4 linked regions of the Saccharomyces cerevisiae S288C genome follow. Each later gene encodes a partner of the first gene's protein in a complex. Each region holds a gene or a part of one and is shown in the gene's direction. Other genes may lie near its edges. The genes, in order: NAM9, MRPS5, RSM10 and MRP2.

What was found.
Region 2: NAM9 (region 1) and MRPS5 share a complex: the UniProt entries of both Saccharomyces cerevisiae proteins name them as parts of the mitochondrial small ribosomal subunit.
Region 3: NAM9 (region 1) and RSM10 share a complex: the UniProt entries of both Saccharomyces cerevisiae proteins name them as parts of the mitochondrial small ribosomal subunit.
Region 4: NAM9 (region 1) and MRP2 share a complex: the UniProt entries of both Saccharomyces cerevisiae proteins name them as parts of the mitochondrial small ribosomal subunit.

What each region holds. Positions count from the first base shown.
Region 1 is NC_001146.8:367,410-371,728, reverse strand, and holds NAM9 (mitochondrial 37S ribosomal protein uS4m NAM9), read left to right. Parts: upstream 1-1,673; coding exon 1,674-3,134; downstream 3,135-4,319. Other genes in the region: EAF7 (Eaf7p), read right to left, coding at 84-1,361; SRV2 (adenylate cyclase-binding protein), read right to left, coding at 3,408-4,319. UniProt on the Saccharomyces cerevisiae protein: Component of the mitochondrial ribosome (mitoribosome), a dedicated translation machinery responsible for the synthesis of mitochondrial genome-encoded proteins, including at least some of the essential transmembrane subunits of the mitochondrial respiratory chain.
Region 2 is NC_001134.8:719,084-722,896, forward strand, and holds MRPS5 (mitochondrial 37S ribosomal protein uS5m MRPS5), read left to right. Parts: upstream 1-2,306; coding exon 2,307-3,230; downstream 3,231-3,813. Other genes in the region: SPO23 (Spo23p), read left to right, coding at 1-1,521; DUT1 (bifunctional dITP/dUTP diphosphatase), read left to right, coding at 3,528-3,813. UniProt on the Saccharomyces cerevisiae protein: Component of the mitochondrial ribosome (mitoribosome), a dedicated translation machinery responsible for the synthesis of mitochondrial genome-encoded proteins, including at least some of the essential transmembrane subunits of the mitochondrial respiratory chain.
Region 3 is NC_001136.10:538,281-541,599, forward strand, and holds RSM10 (mitochondrial 37S ribosomal protein uS10m RSM10), read left to right. Parts: upstream 1-1,522; coding exon 1,523-2,134; downstream 2,135-3,319. Other genes in the region: Na(+)/Li(+)-exporting P-type ATPase ENA1, read right to left, coding at 1-187; YDR042C (uncharacterized protein), read right to left, coding at 2,321-2,923. UniProt on the Saccharomyces cerevisiae protein: Component of the mitochondrial ribosome (mitoribosome), a dedicated translation machinery responsible for the synthesis of mitochondrial genome-encoded proteins, including at least some of the essential transmembrane subunits of the mitochondrial respiratory chain.
Region 4 is NC_001148.4:875,097-878,163, reverse strand, and holds MRP2 (mitochondrial 37S ribosomal protein uS14m MRP2), read left to right. Parts: upstream 1-1,534; coding exon 1,535-1,882; downstream 1,883-3,067. Other genes in the region: mediator complex subunit NUT2, read right to left, coding at 1-88; MET16 (phosphoadenylyl-sulfate reductase (thioredoxin)), read left to right, coding at 532-1,317; Rho family GTPase RHO1, read right to left, coding at 2,167-2,796. UniProt on the Saccharomyces cerevisiae protein: Component of the mitochondrial ribosome (mitoribosome), a dedicated translation machinery responsible for the synthesis of mitochondrial genome-encoded proteins, including at least some of the essential transmembrane subunits of the mitochondrial respiratory chain.

The sequences.
Region 1 (4,319 bases):
TATATCTGCTACACTACATTAAATACAGATACCTCTATGGAACGGATGAGCGTTTATTATCGCGATCTATATATGAGCAGTGATTATTTTTTATTTCGTAGCCTGCTGGAAACTCTTGTGGCAGGAGGGCTATTTTTACGAGAGCCTGCCTTCCGCCTTTTCCTTTTCGGCGAGGTTTCATTGCTAGTATTACCTGTGGATGATGAATGCCTAGTTCTCTTTGCTAATGGTTCATTTTTGTCCTTAGAATCCTTTTTGGTATCATCCTGTTGATCATCTCCTTTTTTGTTTTCCGTTTTTTTCTTTAAGTTGCCCCCTTCTGATTCAATTTGTTTTCCTTTACCTTCTGCCTCACGTTCAGACTCGTATCCCAGTTCTTCGTCAACTCCTTCGTCAACTCCTTCGCTTTCAGAGCCATTGGTATTTTCATAAGAGGTGGATTTTTCACGCTCATCATCACCTTCTTCGTTTTCGTTTTTTTCCTTATCTACTTCTTCATTGTGGGTTATTTTTGGCTCCTGGATCTCCTCTTTCTTTTCTTTCTGTTCTTCGTCTTTCGTATTATCTTCTTCTATCTCTTCCTTTTCTTCATCTTCAAATTTAACTTCCTTACTTCTTTTCAACCTTTGAGATTTTCTTACTGGAGCTGCTGTTTTATTTGTACTTTTCATTTTCTGTTCTTCTTCACTCATATGTTCCCTCTGGAGTTCCTTTTCATCGCTTTGCACCTCCTTAATGGGTTCTTTCTGGACGTCTATGGGGCTATCATTTTCCTCTGTATGATATTCAGGCAACTCTTTCACTTTAATTGTCGCATTTTTTTCCTGTTTATTGTTGTCGTTCTTTAGGTCTGTAGAAGGACTTTCCTTTGGAATTGTACTATCTTTCTCATTCATATCTTCAACTCGAGGATACTCTTCGTTAGAGTTTGGACTTTTTCTTGCATTTTCTAAGATCAACTCACCGTATTCCTCCCAAGGTAATGTAAAATCTTGCTTGCGTACTCTTATTCGATTATTCAATTCAAGTAAAGTTTCTTCATGAATTTCTGCATCGTCACCATTTCCATTGCCATTCCGTGAACTCTCTGTAGTGGCTTCCAAGGAATATGTATTCTCCATTTCATCAATTTTCTCTAAATTGTAAGATTGGCTCAACTTATCCCATATGTCTTTTGCAGTAAATACCTTCCCCAACTTCATGGTTTCTTTCTGTAATAGCGTCACTGGATACTTATCTGGCGAATTCATTCTTTCCACTATGCAAAACATGTGGAAATGCTTATGAATTCCGGCCGGTTTGAATTCAGATGCCCATCTAAGAAGTCGTATTTCATCCACAATTGTCCAATGTACTACCATCACATCCACGATTCCCTTTTCTTCACTAGCAGCTAGCAACTTCTAATAAACTCCGCCAATCCATCTTCATAGATTATATGATTGATTTCTTCGTTAAGCACGATTTTACTTTTCATGGTGGCAGCCGGATACGTTTCGCTTCGCAGTATTAGTTAAGGAACTATGCTGAAGATATACAAAAAGAGAGAGCGAACGGTCAAAAAGGTGAAGGTTTCCCCAGAGGAAGTGCAACTAATTCGAATATATATCGAGTAGGAGCTCCTTTATACTTTTTTGGTACGGAAGACTGGTTACAATTAAAATACAGAGATAATGCCAAGAAAGGCTAATTTGCTAAAATCTTTGGCAAGAGGACGAGTACGCACTTCTTTCAATAAGTATAATTTGTTTAATTTGTACAAAAAGGGTGGTGTAGACTTGAAGTCTAAATCTTTGTATCAACAGAAGTGGACGGCAAAGCAGGAAACCCGAGCTTATCATGGTGAACATTTGACAGAAAAGAGATGGCAAACCGTTTTCAAACCCAAATTGGATTCAGTAGCACAATTGGATGCTTCACTGCGTGGAGGTGAAATCAAGGAAACACCATTTTTATTACAAACTTTTGCAGTATTAGAAAAAAGGCTTGATTTTGCCCTTTTCAGGGCTATGTTTGCTTCGTCAGTAAGACAAGCTCGTCAGTTCATCTTGCATGGAAATGTTCGCGTTAATGGTGTAAAAATTAAGCATCCAAGCTATACTTTAAAGCCTGGAGATATGTTCAGTGTCAAACCGGACAAAGTGCTGGAAGCTCTCGGTGCCAAGAAACCAAGTTTCCAAGAAGCGCTAAAGATCGATAAGACTCAAATAGTTTTATGGAACAAGTATGTTAAGGAAGCGAAAACGGAGCCAAAGGAAGTTTGGGAGAAGAAGTTGGAAAATTTTGAAAAGATGTCGGATTCTAACCCAAAGAAACTTCAGTTTCAAGAATTTTTGAGGCAATATAATAAGAATCTGGAGTCACAGCAATATAACGCATTAAAGGGATGCACACAGGAAGGTATCTTGAGAAAGCTTTTAAATGTAGAGAAGGAAATAGGTAAGTCGAATAATGAGCCCTTGTCGATAGATGAACTCAAACAGGGTCTCCCTGAGATCCAGGACTCTCAGTTGTTAGAAAGTCTAAATAACGCTTATCAAGAGTTTTTCAAATCCGGTGAAATTAGAAGAGAAATCATTTCTAAATGTCAGCCTGACGAGTTGATTTCACTGGCTACAGAAATGATGAATCCTAACGAAACCACAAAAAAAGAATTATCTGATGGAGCCAAATCCGCTTTAAGATCTGGAAAAAGAATCATAGCGGAAAGCGTGAAACTATGGACGAAAAATATAACAGACCACTTCAAAACTAGGATGAGTGATATTTCTGATGGTTCACTAACGTTCGACCCCAAATGGGCCAAAAATTTAAAATATCATGATCCGATTAAATTATCTGAATTGGAAGGTGATGAACCAAAAGCACGTAAATTGATAAACTTGCCGTGGCAGAAAAATTATGTTTATGGTAGGCAAGATCCTAAAAAACCCTTTTTCACACCATGGAAGCCAAGACCATTTTTATCGCCTTTCGCCATTTTACCTCATCATTTGGAAATATCTTTCAAGACATGCCACGCTGTATACCTAAGGGATCCCGTCGCTCGACCAGGCCAATCCGAAGTAATTTCACCATTTGATGTTCCTGTTCATGAACGTGCATATATGTATTACTTGAGAAATGGTAAATGATCGTCGTGTATTGTTGCACGCGTCTTTTGACTGATCTTCAGCCTCTCTTTACACTGTAAATATTTAATTTTTTTTGTTTTTAAGTTCTACTCGAACGATCAAGTAGTCACTTAGTCGCTCCTCGTTTTCCTGTTACTTCTTTAAGAAAAGGTTACACATGAAAAAAAGGTTTTACAAAAAGTATATAATTGTTTATTCATTCACTTTTCTTTCTGATTGATTCAAATGTGATTTATTTCTTTTAACTAAATACAATTAATGCTCCTCGCAATATTAACCAGCATGTTCGAAAACAGCAGATTTGAACTTACCATCAGCGAAGCTATGCTTCATCTGTTCAGGGATTGGGAATTCTACGTAATCATCGTCCTCGCCGATTGGTAAGTTGACGTTAATAGCAGTTGAGCACGAGGTGTAGATTTCAGTATTCAAGGATTCCTTGGATAAATAGATGTTACCGCCGTCAGATTTATCAATGGAGATTTGAGGTAGGGAATGGTTAACTTGAATGCCAAACTTGTTGGATTTGATGACATCCATACCGGAAATGCTAGAATCAAGAACAACACTGCATGACTCAGTTTCACTCAACGAGATAGCGTTAACTTTTCCTTTTATTTGAACAAGAACTTGAGAACATTTACCTATGAAGATAGACTCATCTTTATTTGCATCAATAACCAGAGATTCAGTTTCATTTTCGTAATTCTCAATAAACCATTTGTTTCCTACCAATTCCTTTCTAGGAGGCCTCTTAGTTTTCAATGTTGATGGCTTTTTTGGCCTTGGTGGTGGACCGGATTTACTTCCTGTGGAAGAAACTGTAGAGGATTGACGTAATTCAGGATTTTTGTGAGTTTGTTGGGATTTGTCTACTTTTTTCAAACCCTTAGTGATATTTTCACCCTGATTTAGTTCGGCGAAGACCGCGCCAATACCGCCTTTGTTAGCATCACTACTCGTTGCTGGTGTATCATTAGAGATTTCAAAGACGGAAGCTGGTGGGGCTGGTGGAGGAGGTGGTGGTGCTGGAGCCGCTGTAGCACTTGCTGGCGAAGGAGATGAAGTAGCACCTGTATTCTTCGTTGATTGTGCCATCGCGTCAGCAAAATCCATACCGTCTTTTTTCCAGGAAACCCCAGTAGTATGATACTCTTTAATGTAGGCTTTCAAATTATCGAAAGA
Region 2 (3,813 bases), on another chromosome or scaffold:
TTCTCGGAAAATATATCTAGTAGATCCACTACTCTGACTGAAAGTTCCACACAAAGCGAGATAAGGCAGCATTTTGGTAATGAAGATTTCAGTGGTGAACTACCAAAAAAATTAATTCAACTCAAGAAATTAAAAAATGGTGGCACTACAATCAAGAAGGCTAAGGAAGACCTTGAGTATTGCTATGATTCACTACGGCTGTACGAAAATCCCTATGTAACATCATCTGTAGATAAAAAATGTGGTTACAGCATTGAATTGTATCTAGATAACAAGTACAAAACACTAATGTTCTCCGATTTACAATTGAATGCTGACTATCCGTTGTATTACGATTCCTCACTGGATAATATATCTACAAATGTTGAAAGAGAAAGAGCCACTCCTCTACAAATCAAAGGAAAGATTAGGATAAACATTGATAGAGAAGACCAGGCCCTCTTAATCACTTCCCATTCAATTTCTTTAAAATGTTTCACAAAGGAATATGCATGCTTTGTAAATTCAGAAACTAGCAAAAACTCCTATAGTGACAAAATTATCAAAGAACTTAATCACACAGAGTTTTTTGAGTCTTCCACCTACCCCAAACAGCAGTTGAGAGTCATACACCACTCATTAAATGATAAGAAAATTCTATTGACAAAGGGCACGTACGATTACCCATTCACTTTTACCCTTCAAGCAAATACTTTCCCAGCAAGTTTCTCTTCCTTCTTTGGCAAGACCCATTTTCGAATAGAAAGCTTAACAACAATAATGAGAATACCAAGTAAACCTAAAAACTTACTCAAATTTTTGAAGAATGAAAGTTTTACAGATAAGATCATTTTAACAGAAGAAATTAAAGTTAAAAGAGTCCTGCCTTCAACGAGTATGCTTAAGTTTGAAACATTTCAATTAAGGTCATACAATACTGCAAGTGAGATCGTAGTATCGGTCATTGGAAACTCCAAGTTGATTGAAATTGGTATGCCTTTCCAAATGATATTATCAATTACCAAAACAGATTCTTCCATTGAATTACAGGAAGCTTCTTTGGCAGTTGCACAGAGAATGGCAATACCAAGTATTGATTTGAAGACCAAGAAAATACTACGAGAGCCATACATTAAAAAGTCCGAGTATTTACTAAGAACTGTAGAAAGCCAAAGTTTCGATTCCGACAAGACCATTTTCGGATTTTGCTTTGATGACGTTGTCATCCCAACCTATGCGGATGGTCTACCGAGCTGGTTTAAAACATTCTACTGTGAACCAAGTTCATTTTATCCCAATCATGCTGCCCTCAAAGTAACTCATTTGCTTTTGTTCAGAATAACCTATAGCAGGAATGAATTGGTGGAAGGGCTTGAAATGAAAAAAAATTATCGTATTACGGTGAATTTTCCAATTTTAGTTGGCGATAGTGATATTTCGACCAGCTCTTTGTTACCCAAATATGAAAAATTTGAAAATATTAGTGATCTACAAGATGAACCCCCACTATATTCTATGGTAGCAGGTGAGAATAGCTTATGAATGTTCGGTACCTCAGAACAACGCCTCTATTTTATCCTTTTTTTTTTTATTTGCATGATATACATATACTATTTTTTATTAGTTTCTTATTCTACTATGTATTTACGTAACAATAAATTTACAGGTCTCTCTTTTTGTAAGTATCTTGCACGCTGATATCTATAATACTACTTCACAAGTTGATCAGCTTCCGAGATAGACATTTTATGTATCAAGTCGCCATGTCCGTTCTCTACTGGCCGGTGTATATTATGATATTTCGACCGGTTCTAATACATAAGCACCGCCCACTCTGAGGAGAAGACATTTTTACAAGAATTACTAGCCATATTTTCCCTTGTCAAATTAGAGAAGGAAAAATTACTTGAAACATCCCGTGTTTGGGCACTAAAAGTATATCAATAGGAGCTGAAGAACACTACACTAGACTCTCTTGGCGTGAAGGCCTTATTATGTGAACTTTCGTAGGTTTGACTTTTACTACCAGTATGAAAAAGGTTAGAGTTTATTCAATCAAATGGAAAAGTTTTACAACTGAGCTAGTGATCTCCAAATGAGGTAGCAAGTAACAGTCGTATGTATCCCATACATTTATGTATCCCATATATTTCATTACATGGTGATGCTTTCTTTTATTCGCGGAGTAAAGTTCCTTAAAGTGAAAAAAAAAAAAAGACGAATTGACAAGACAATAATACAAGCACCACTAAAAGACCTATCGTTATTGTTGTCAAAGTAGACGGTAAACCATACAAGAAACAGATTTCATAGATCAATAGGTAAAGATGTTCAAGAGGCAATTATCGACTAGTGTTCGTTATCTACAGCATTATGATGAGTCGCTATTATCAAGGTACTATCCTGAAAGTCTTTTAAAATCCATAAAACTTGCTCAACAAACGATACCAGAAGATACTAAATTCAGAGTATCTCGTAACGTGGAATTCGCACCACCATATTTGGATGATTTTACCAAAATACATCCTTTTTGGGATTACAAACCAGGCATGCCCCATCTCCACGCTCAAGAGGAGAATAATAACTTCAGCATCTTTAGATGGGACCAGGTACAACAACCATTACCAGGCGAAGGTAACATTCTGCCTCCAGGAGTCAGCTTACCAAACGATGGTGGTCGGAAATCGAAAAGCGCCGATGTAGCTGCAGGGCTACACAAGCAAACCGGTGTAGATCCGGATTATATCACTAGAAAGTTGACTATGAAGCCGCTGGTGATGAAAAGAGTGTCAAATCAGACTGGGAAGGGTAAAATTGCGTCTTTCTATGCCTTGGTTGTCGTTGGTGACAAAAACGGTATGGTAGGTTTGGGAGAAGGTAAATCTCGTGAAGAAATGTCCAAAGCGATCTTTAAAGCTCATTGGGATGCGGTAAGGAACCTGAAGGAAATACCTAGGTATGAAAACAGAACTATTTATGGTGATATAGATTTTAGGTATCATGGTGTGAAACTACATTTAAGAAGTGCAAAACCAGGGTTTGGATTACGTGTAAACCATGTAATCTTTGAGATTTGTGAATGTGCAGGTATCAAAGATCTGAGTGGGAAAGTATATAAATCCAGAAACGATATGAATATAGCTAAAGGTACCATCGAGGCTTTCACGAAAGCTCAAAAGACATTGGATGAGGTTGCCCTGGGTAGAGGCAAAAAGCTTGTTGATGTCAGGAAAGTTTACTATTCAAGCTGAAATACTATGTACATACACACGCACCATTATCTCTCGTTTTACATAAGTAAATACAGCAATAATAATACCTGTAAATATCTCAACATACTCAATCAAATGAGCTGATAAGCATATTCAATTTTTCTTCATAGCAATATTTTTTTCTGTCCAAGTTTTATTTTTTTTCCATAATTTCTGATTTACTACCATTGAAAATTATAAAAGGAAAAATATTACGCGCTACCATTTAATAAGTAGAAACAACTAAGTTCTCGAATGAGATGTTTGCACTGATACAGCGAGCCAAAAAATAACCAAATGACTGCTACTAGCGACAAAGTACTAAAGATTCAATTGCGCTCAGCAAGCGCTACTGTACCTACCAAAGGTTCTGCCACTGCCGCGGGATACGACATTTATGCATCTCAGGATATTACCATTCCGGCTATGGGTCAAGGTATGGTTTCCACCGACATATCGTTCACCGTACCTGTTGGTACCTACGGTCGTATTGCGCCAAGGTCAGGCCTGGCAGTGAAAAACGGTATCCAAACCGGTGCTGGTGTTGTCGACAGAGATTACACCGGTGAAGTTAAAGTAGTTT
Region 3 (3,319 bases), on another chromosome or scaffold:
TGTAATCAATTTTAGTGTCATCACCCAATGTGTTCTCACCCACTGTTTTCAATCTGTGGACGAACTCATCTTGGGTCAAACCTTCAGTTAGACTTGTGCCTATGAATTCAGCGGCTTCTTCTGCAGTCAGCGTGTGATAAGCATTGAATTCTGCATTATTGTTTTCCTTAGTAGTTCCTTCGCCCATCGAAAATTTTCAATTCTGTGTACGAAGTTTTTTCTTTAATTAGTAAATATACGTATTGTTGCCTCAAATAAATGTGAATTAAGTGTGAACAGTTCACTTGATGAAGATATCTGCTTTATTAAAGTTAATATTAGAATATAAATGATTAGACTATTACTAATGAGAAAAGAAAGATAGGAGAAATAGTAGAAATTAATAGTACTCTAAAAAGAAAGAACGGAATAAGAGGAAAAGACCTTTTATCTATTCAAATTGTTTCCCTTAGGTATATATATATATATATATATATATATATATTTTCCCTGTATATATCTATGTAAATGACGAAAACGCATGACATTTTAAAACCTACCCCGGGTTTGACCACAACCCACCGTTCATCTAATATTAACCCGCACCCACCAAGGAAAGAGGCAATAATTCGGGAATACTGCTCTAAGACCTTGTTTTTTCTTCTGTCAGGTGAAAGTATATGACCAAAATCTACATCCCTGCCCTAACAAACGTCATAGAAGTAGGAAATAAATGATGAGCCCCGCAAAATGACGCCGCACGGCGATGTTTAAGACCCTGTACTCACAATGTAACCACTTCGTGCAGAAGCTTCTGGGAGGAAAGGGTCCGTACATGAATTATCACACCCACACCCCTCATTCAATCCTTCTACCGCGCATGGTAATCAATCATAACAGGAAGCGATAAGAAAGTTTACATTGCACAGCCACCCTCATTGCCTCTGTGATTGAAGATCTGGGAGTGGGGCTAAAGGTGCAACTTCCGTACAAGAGTGACGAGATAAAGGATTTTCCACGGAATGGCTGACAAAATTCGGGGCTTGTGTGAGTTCCACGTGCGGATGACTTAATAAGCTCAGTGATTGTACTTTTGACATGATTGATGAACGGCTAGAGATAGCCACCGAGTGGCTACTTAGTAATAACCAGCGTAGGAAACAATTACGGATTTTGTTATCGTTCACCGATAACCCTAAAATATTGACCACACTGGTAGTCATTAGAATTTAACCAAGAGGGTAGCTTAGTTCGACCGATAATCAATATTACTGAAGTCTTATCAAATTCTGACTCTTGCCATACCGTTTCTTATCGTCACTGTTTAATCCGGAAATTAGTCATGTATCCACACATCCTTTATTAACAGCAGAGAGATTGGGCAAGAATGTTAGCAAACTATGTACCAGGCGGGTAATACCTGTACATCTATTTTCTTTTGAAAAGGAAAAAATGCAAGAAAGGGCATGAAATGAAACTATTTGGTACAAATTAGAATTATGCGAACCGTGCAAAATCAGAAAAGGGGGAAAAACATTGGCCAATGCTTAGAAATACCATTGCATTAAGATCATTTATCAGAACACAGTCGACGCGCCCATATCCTGTAAATGTAGAGGCAGTCTACTATGCTCCTTTAAAGTTACCTATCAAATATGGTGATTTAGTTGCAGACATTCAGTTAAGATCGTATGACAATGAAAACCTCGATTTTTATTCAGACTTCATACTTAGAACAGGTTACTATTTGGGTATCCCATTGACAGGTCCTAAACCTTTGCCCACGAGAAGAGAAAGGTGGACTGTAATAAAATCACCTTTCGTGCACGCTAAATCCAAAGAGAATTTTGAAAGACATACACATAAGAGGCTCATTAGGGCCTGGGATACGAACCCCGAAGTGCTACAGATGTTGATAGCTTACATTACGAAGCACTCTATGGCAGGCGTCGGAATGAAATGTAACTTCTTTCAAAGGTCCGAAATATCGCTGGACTTGGGTTCGGACGCCAATGGCCTCGAAAAATCACTAAGCAATATCGATGAATTGTATTCTCTGAGAAACGATGATAAAGCTCAAACTAGTGCTGTCGGACAAAAAGTATTGGAACTATTGGATAGCCCCGATTTTAAAAAACATTTGGAAAAGAAGTAAAAAGATGATGGCAATCCTATAATTACGCTGGTTCTTGGGACCGAAAAGATTTCGTACTTGTAAATAAAATAGGTGAAGAAGAGGGGCAAAAAGTAGTAGATTAAATGGTTATACTGAATTTATAAGTAAGTTTAATTATATTTTTTAACTATATGATGAACAATTTTGTACTAATATTGCGGCCCGTTATGAGTATTGCTCTTGCCATAAAAGTGTGTTCACTGCTTTGTTTCCTGGTACTGCATACCGCTTAATATTGTTATCGCTCAATAAATTTAGTTTCTGGAAGCTTTCCAAGGACTTACCAGGTAGCGGGCCTGAGAATCTATTTTTTAGTCCATCGGCTACAAAAATCGGTAGTATATTTGTTCTTGGTAAGTAAGCTTTGCTAAAGGAAAGTGTCCTTTTTCTGTTTGTATTCTTCTTCGAATTCCACCTGAAATGTTGGACATTCAGGGATGTGTGTAACCGATACTTCTGGTCAGAGAGTTTGTATACAATATACTCCGCTAATCTGAAAATGGTAAAAAATAATATAAAAACATTCTTGGTAGCAGATATGGAATCTGAATTCATATTGAGAAAGTTTCGCTCAGTACTCCAACTACTTTCGAGCAGAGTAGTGGAATCAGATTCCATTATTGAGGCTTTCGTTCCGAATAATTGTATAACTGGGTTATAAAATAGTTGTTGGAAAATAGAAAAAATGAGGACCTTTAGAAACTTTAAACCTTGAAAAGTAGAAAGGGTAGAAATTTTAAGGCTTTGATTATATAATATTTGCTCCATGTTGTGAAAAGAAAAAGATTTTTTCTCTTAGAGACCTAGTCGTTTGTTAGCTGTTGTTGATTCGCTATTTTCAATAGTAAAGTTTCTAATAAAATGACAAACATGAAGAAGATATAAGTGCGTGTTCTTCCAATATATAATATTTGTACTGCAGATACACAGATTCAAATTTTTCCCTGTTATCCGCCTTTCTTCTTGGAAATTGGTAACAGGATTTTGTGTCATTAGCAAAAATAATAGCCATTAGTAAGTACGCTTTGTTATCCCGACGCGAAACAGAAACAGAAATAAAGAAAATGAAAGCTACTCTGATTTACGTTACCGCCATTGAAGATGGAGGATGAAGCACAATAAGAATAAGAAAAAAGAAAATCAGCAAGAATGACGCGAAAATAT
Region 4 (3,067 bases), on another chromosome or scaffold:
CGAAGGACTCAATAATCGAAGCCACTTGGTCTTGAGTAGTGGCCAGTTCTTGCTGCAATTGTTCATTGTTAGTGCTGTTTCCATTCATCTTATCGGTTTATTTTTCTATATATTTGCCTCTTTCTCAAACAGGAGTTAGTAGTTAAAAGTACGAAGTTCTTGTTCTTTAATGCGCGCTGACAAAAGAATTGGATAAAAGAGAATGGTGGGGGGACAAGAAGGAAATTTGTCCTAGTTTAACATGAATGGCATCTTGTTACCGGGTGGACATCACCTATTGATTCTAAATATCTTTACGGTTTATCATACTGTTCTTTATTCCGTCGTTATTCTTTTTATTTTTATCATCATTTCACGTGGCTAGTAAAAGAAAAGCCACAACATGACTCAGCAAATCTCGACAAAGTAAAAGCTCATAGAGATAGTATTATATTGATATAAAAAAAGTATACTGTACTGTTTGTAACCTTTTCAATGCTTTAAGATCAAAACTAAGGCCAGCAAAGGTATCAACCCATAGCAACTCATAAAATGAAGACCTATCATTTGAATAATGATATAATTGTCACACAAGAACAGTTGGATCATTGGAATGAACAACTAATCAAGCTGGAAACGCCACAGGAGATTATTGCATGGTCTATCGTAACGTTTCCTCACCTTTTCCAAACCACTGCATTTGGTTTGACTGGCTTGGTTACTATCGATATGTTGTCAAAGCTATCTGAAAAATACTACATGCCAGAACTATTATTTATAGACACTTTGCACCATTTCCCACAAACTTTAACACTAAAAAACGAGATTGAGAAAAAATACTACCAGCCTAAAAATCAAACCATTCACGTATATAAGCCGGATGGATGTGAATCGGAGGCAGATTTTGCCTCGAAATACGGGGATTTCTTATGGGAGAAAGATGATGACAAGTACGATTATCTGGCCAAAGTGGAACCTGCACATCGTGCCTACAAAGAGCTACATATAAGTGCTGTGTTTACTGGTAGAAGAAAATCACAAGGTTCTGCCCGCTCCCAACTGTCGATTATTGAAATAGACGAACTTAATGGAATCTTAAAAATAAATCCATTGATCAATTGGACGTTCGAGCAGGTTAAACAGTATATAGATGCAAACAATGTACCATACAACGAACTTTTGGACCTTGGATATAGATCCATTGGTGATTACCATTCCACACAACCCGTCAAGGAAGGTGAAGATGAGAGAGCAGGAAGATGGAAGGGCAAGGCCAAGACCGAGTGTGGAATTCATGAAGCCAGCCGATTCGCGCAATTTTTAAAGCAAGATGCCTAGATAGATAGAGTACGATATATAACCATATGTATGTGACTAATTATTTATTCCTTAATAACACCAATGATTACAACTTTCTAAAGCTGGCGGAGAATTCGCGCTGTACGAGAAAAGAGCGAAAACAGAGGAATATTCAAACTAAGAACCAAACTGCGATAAAGAGGATTGAAAGGAAAAACGAAAGAAAAGGTAAACTGACAAATATATACATTAACCGATGGGTAATTTCAGATTTCCTATAAAAACCAAGCTACCACCAGGGTTTATCAATGCTCGCATACTTAGGGATAACTTCAAAAGACAACAATTTAAAGAGAATGAAATCCTTGTTAAATCTTTGAAATTCATCGCTAGAAATATGAACCTTCCAACAAAACTGAGGTTGGAGGCTCAGTTAAAACTAAATGCATTGCCAAACTACATGAGATCTACGCAGATCAAAAATAGGTGCGTGGACTCTGGACATGCAAGATTTGTTCTAAGTGATTTTAGGTTGTGTAGGTATCAATTTAGAGAAAACGCTCTGAAGGGTAATTTGCCAGGTGTTAAGAAGGGTATTTGGTAAAAAATTTTATCGCGAAAGTATATATATATATATATATAGGATACGCACTTGTAAATAAATACATGATAATTTTTATTCTTCTTTAATAGATGATAATACTTACTGAGCAATACACTTATATGTAGAGAAGAATAAGATTATACACATACTGGGAGAAAAACAAGTAGCTATAGTTAGAGCTAAAATAACAAAAAAAGGCATACGTACATACAATGAGAAAAGGAATGGGATTGAAAAAGGGCAGTATCTGCCACTAAGTTAACGACTGAGAGATCGAGACACTCCTATAACAAGACACACTTCTTCTTCTTCTTTTCAGTAGTGTTCTTCTTAGCTTTACCATTCGTTTTAGATTTACCCATCAATGAAGCTCTAGTGGCGGCCTCAAACACTTCTCTGACACCATAACCAGTCTTGGCCGAACATTCGTAGTATCCGGTTGCGCCAATCTGGTCTGCTACAGATTGTCCCTCCTGTGATGTAACGGGTTGTTGACCTTCTTGTCTTAATTGTTCAATGGTTTGTGGGTCGTTTCTCAAATCCACTTTACAACCAACAAGAATAATTGGCACACCTTGACAGAAATGTAATACTTCGGCAATCCATTTTTCTTGTACATTCTCTAAAGAATCTGGAAGATCGATAGAGAAACAAATTAATACGACATTGGAGTCTGGGTATGACAATGGTCTTAGTCTATCATAATCTTCTTGACCAGCGGTATCCCATAGCGCTAGCTCTACACGACGCCCATCAACTTCAACATCTGCTACATAGTTTTCAAAGACAGTTGGTACGTAGACTTCTGGAAATTGGCCCTTGGAAAAGACGATTAATAAACATGTCTTACCACAGGCACCATCACCAACGATTACCAGCTTTCTTCTGATACTGTTACCAACTTGTTGTGACATCTTTCTAGTATAATTTTTAAAGTTCTATGATTTTCTATTAGTGCAACAATAAACCTCTAACAGCGATTCTTTTGTTTTATTAATTTTGTTCCTTTTTTGAGTTTTGTAACTTTAAGTTTGGGTTGTTCCAAAAATGTTTTTGCAATACTCAGAGGAATGATCGATGGTCGAAACGATATTAAAGACGAATTCCTGCTGGTAAAATAAATATATACGATTAGGATAAAGAAGTATTTGTATCAACTACTAAAACATGTAGTACCCAATACAA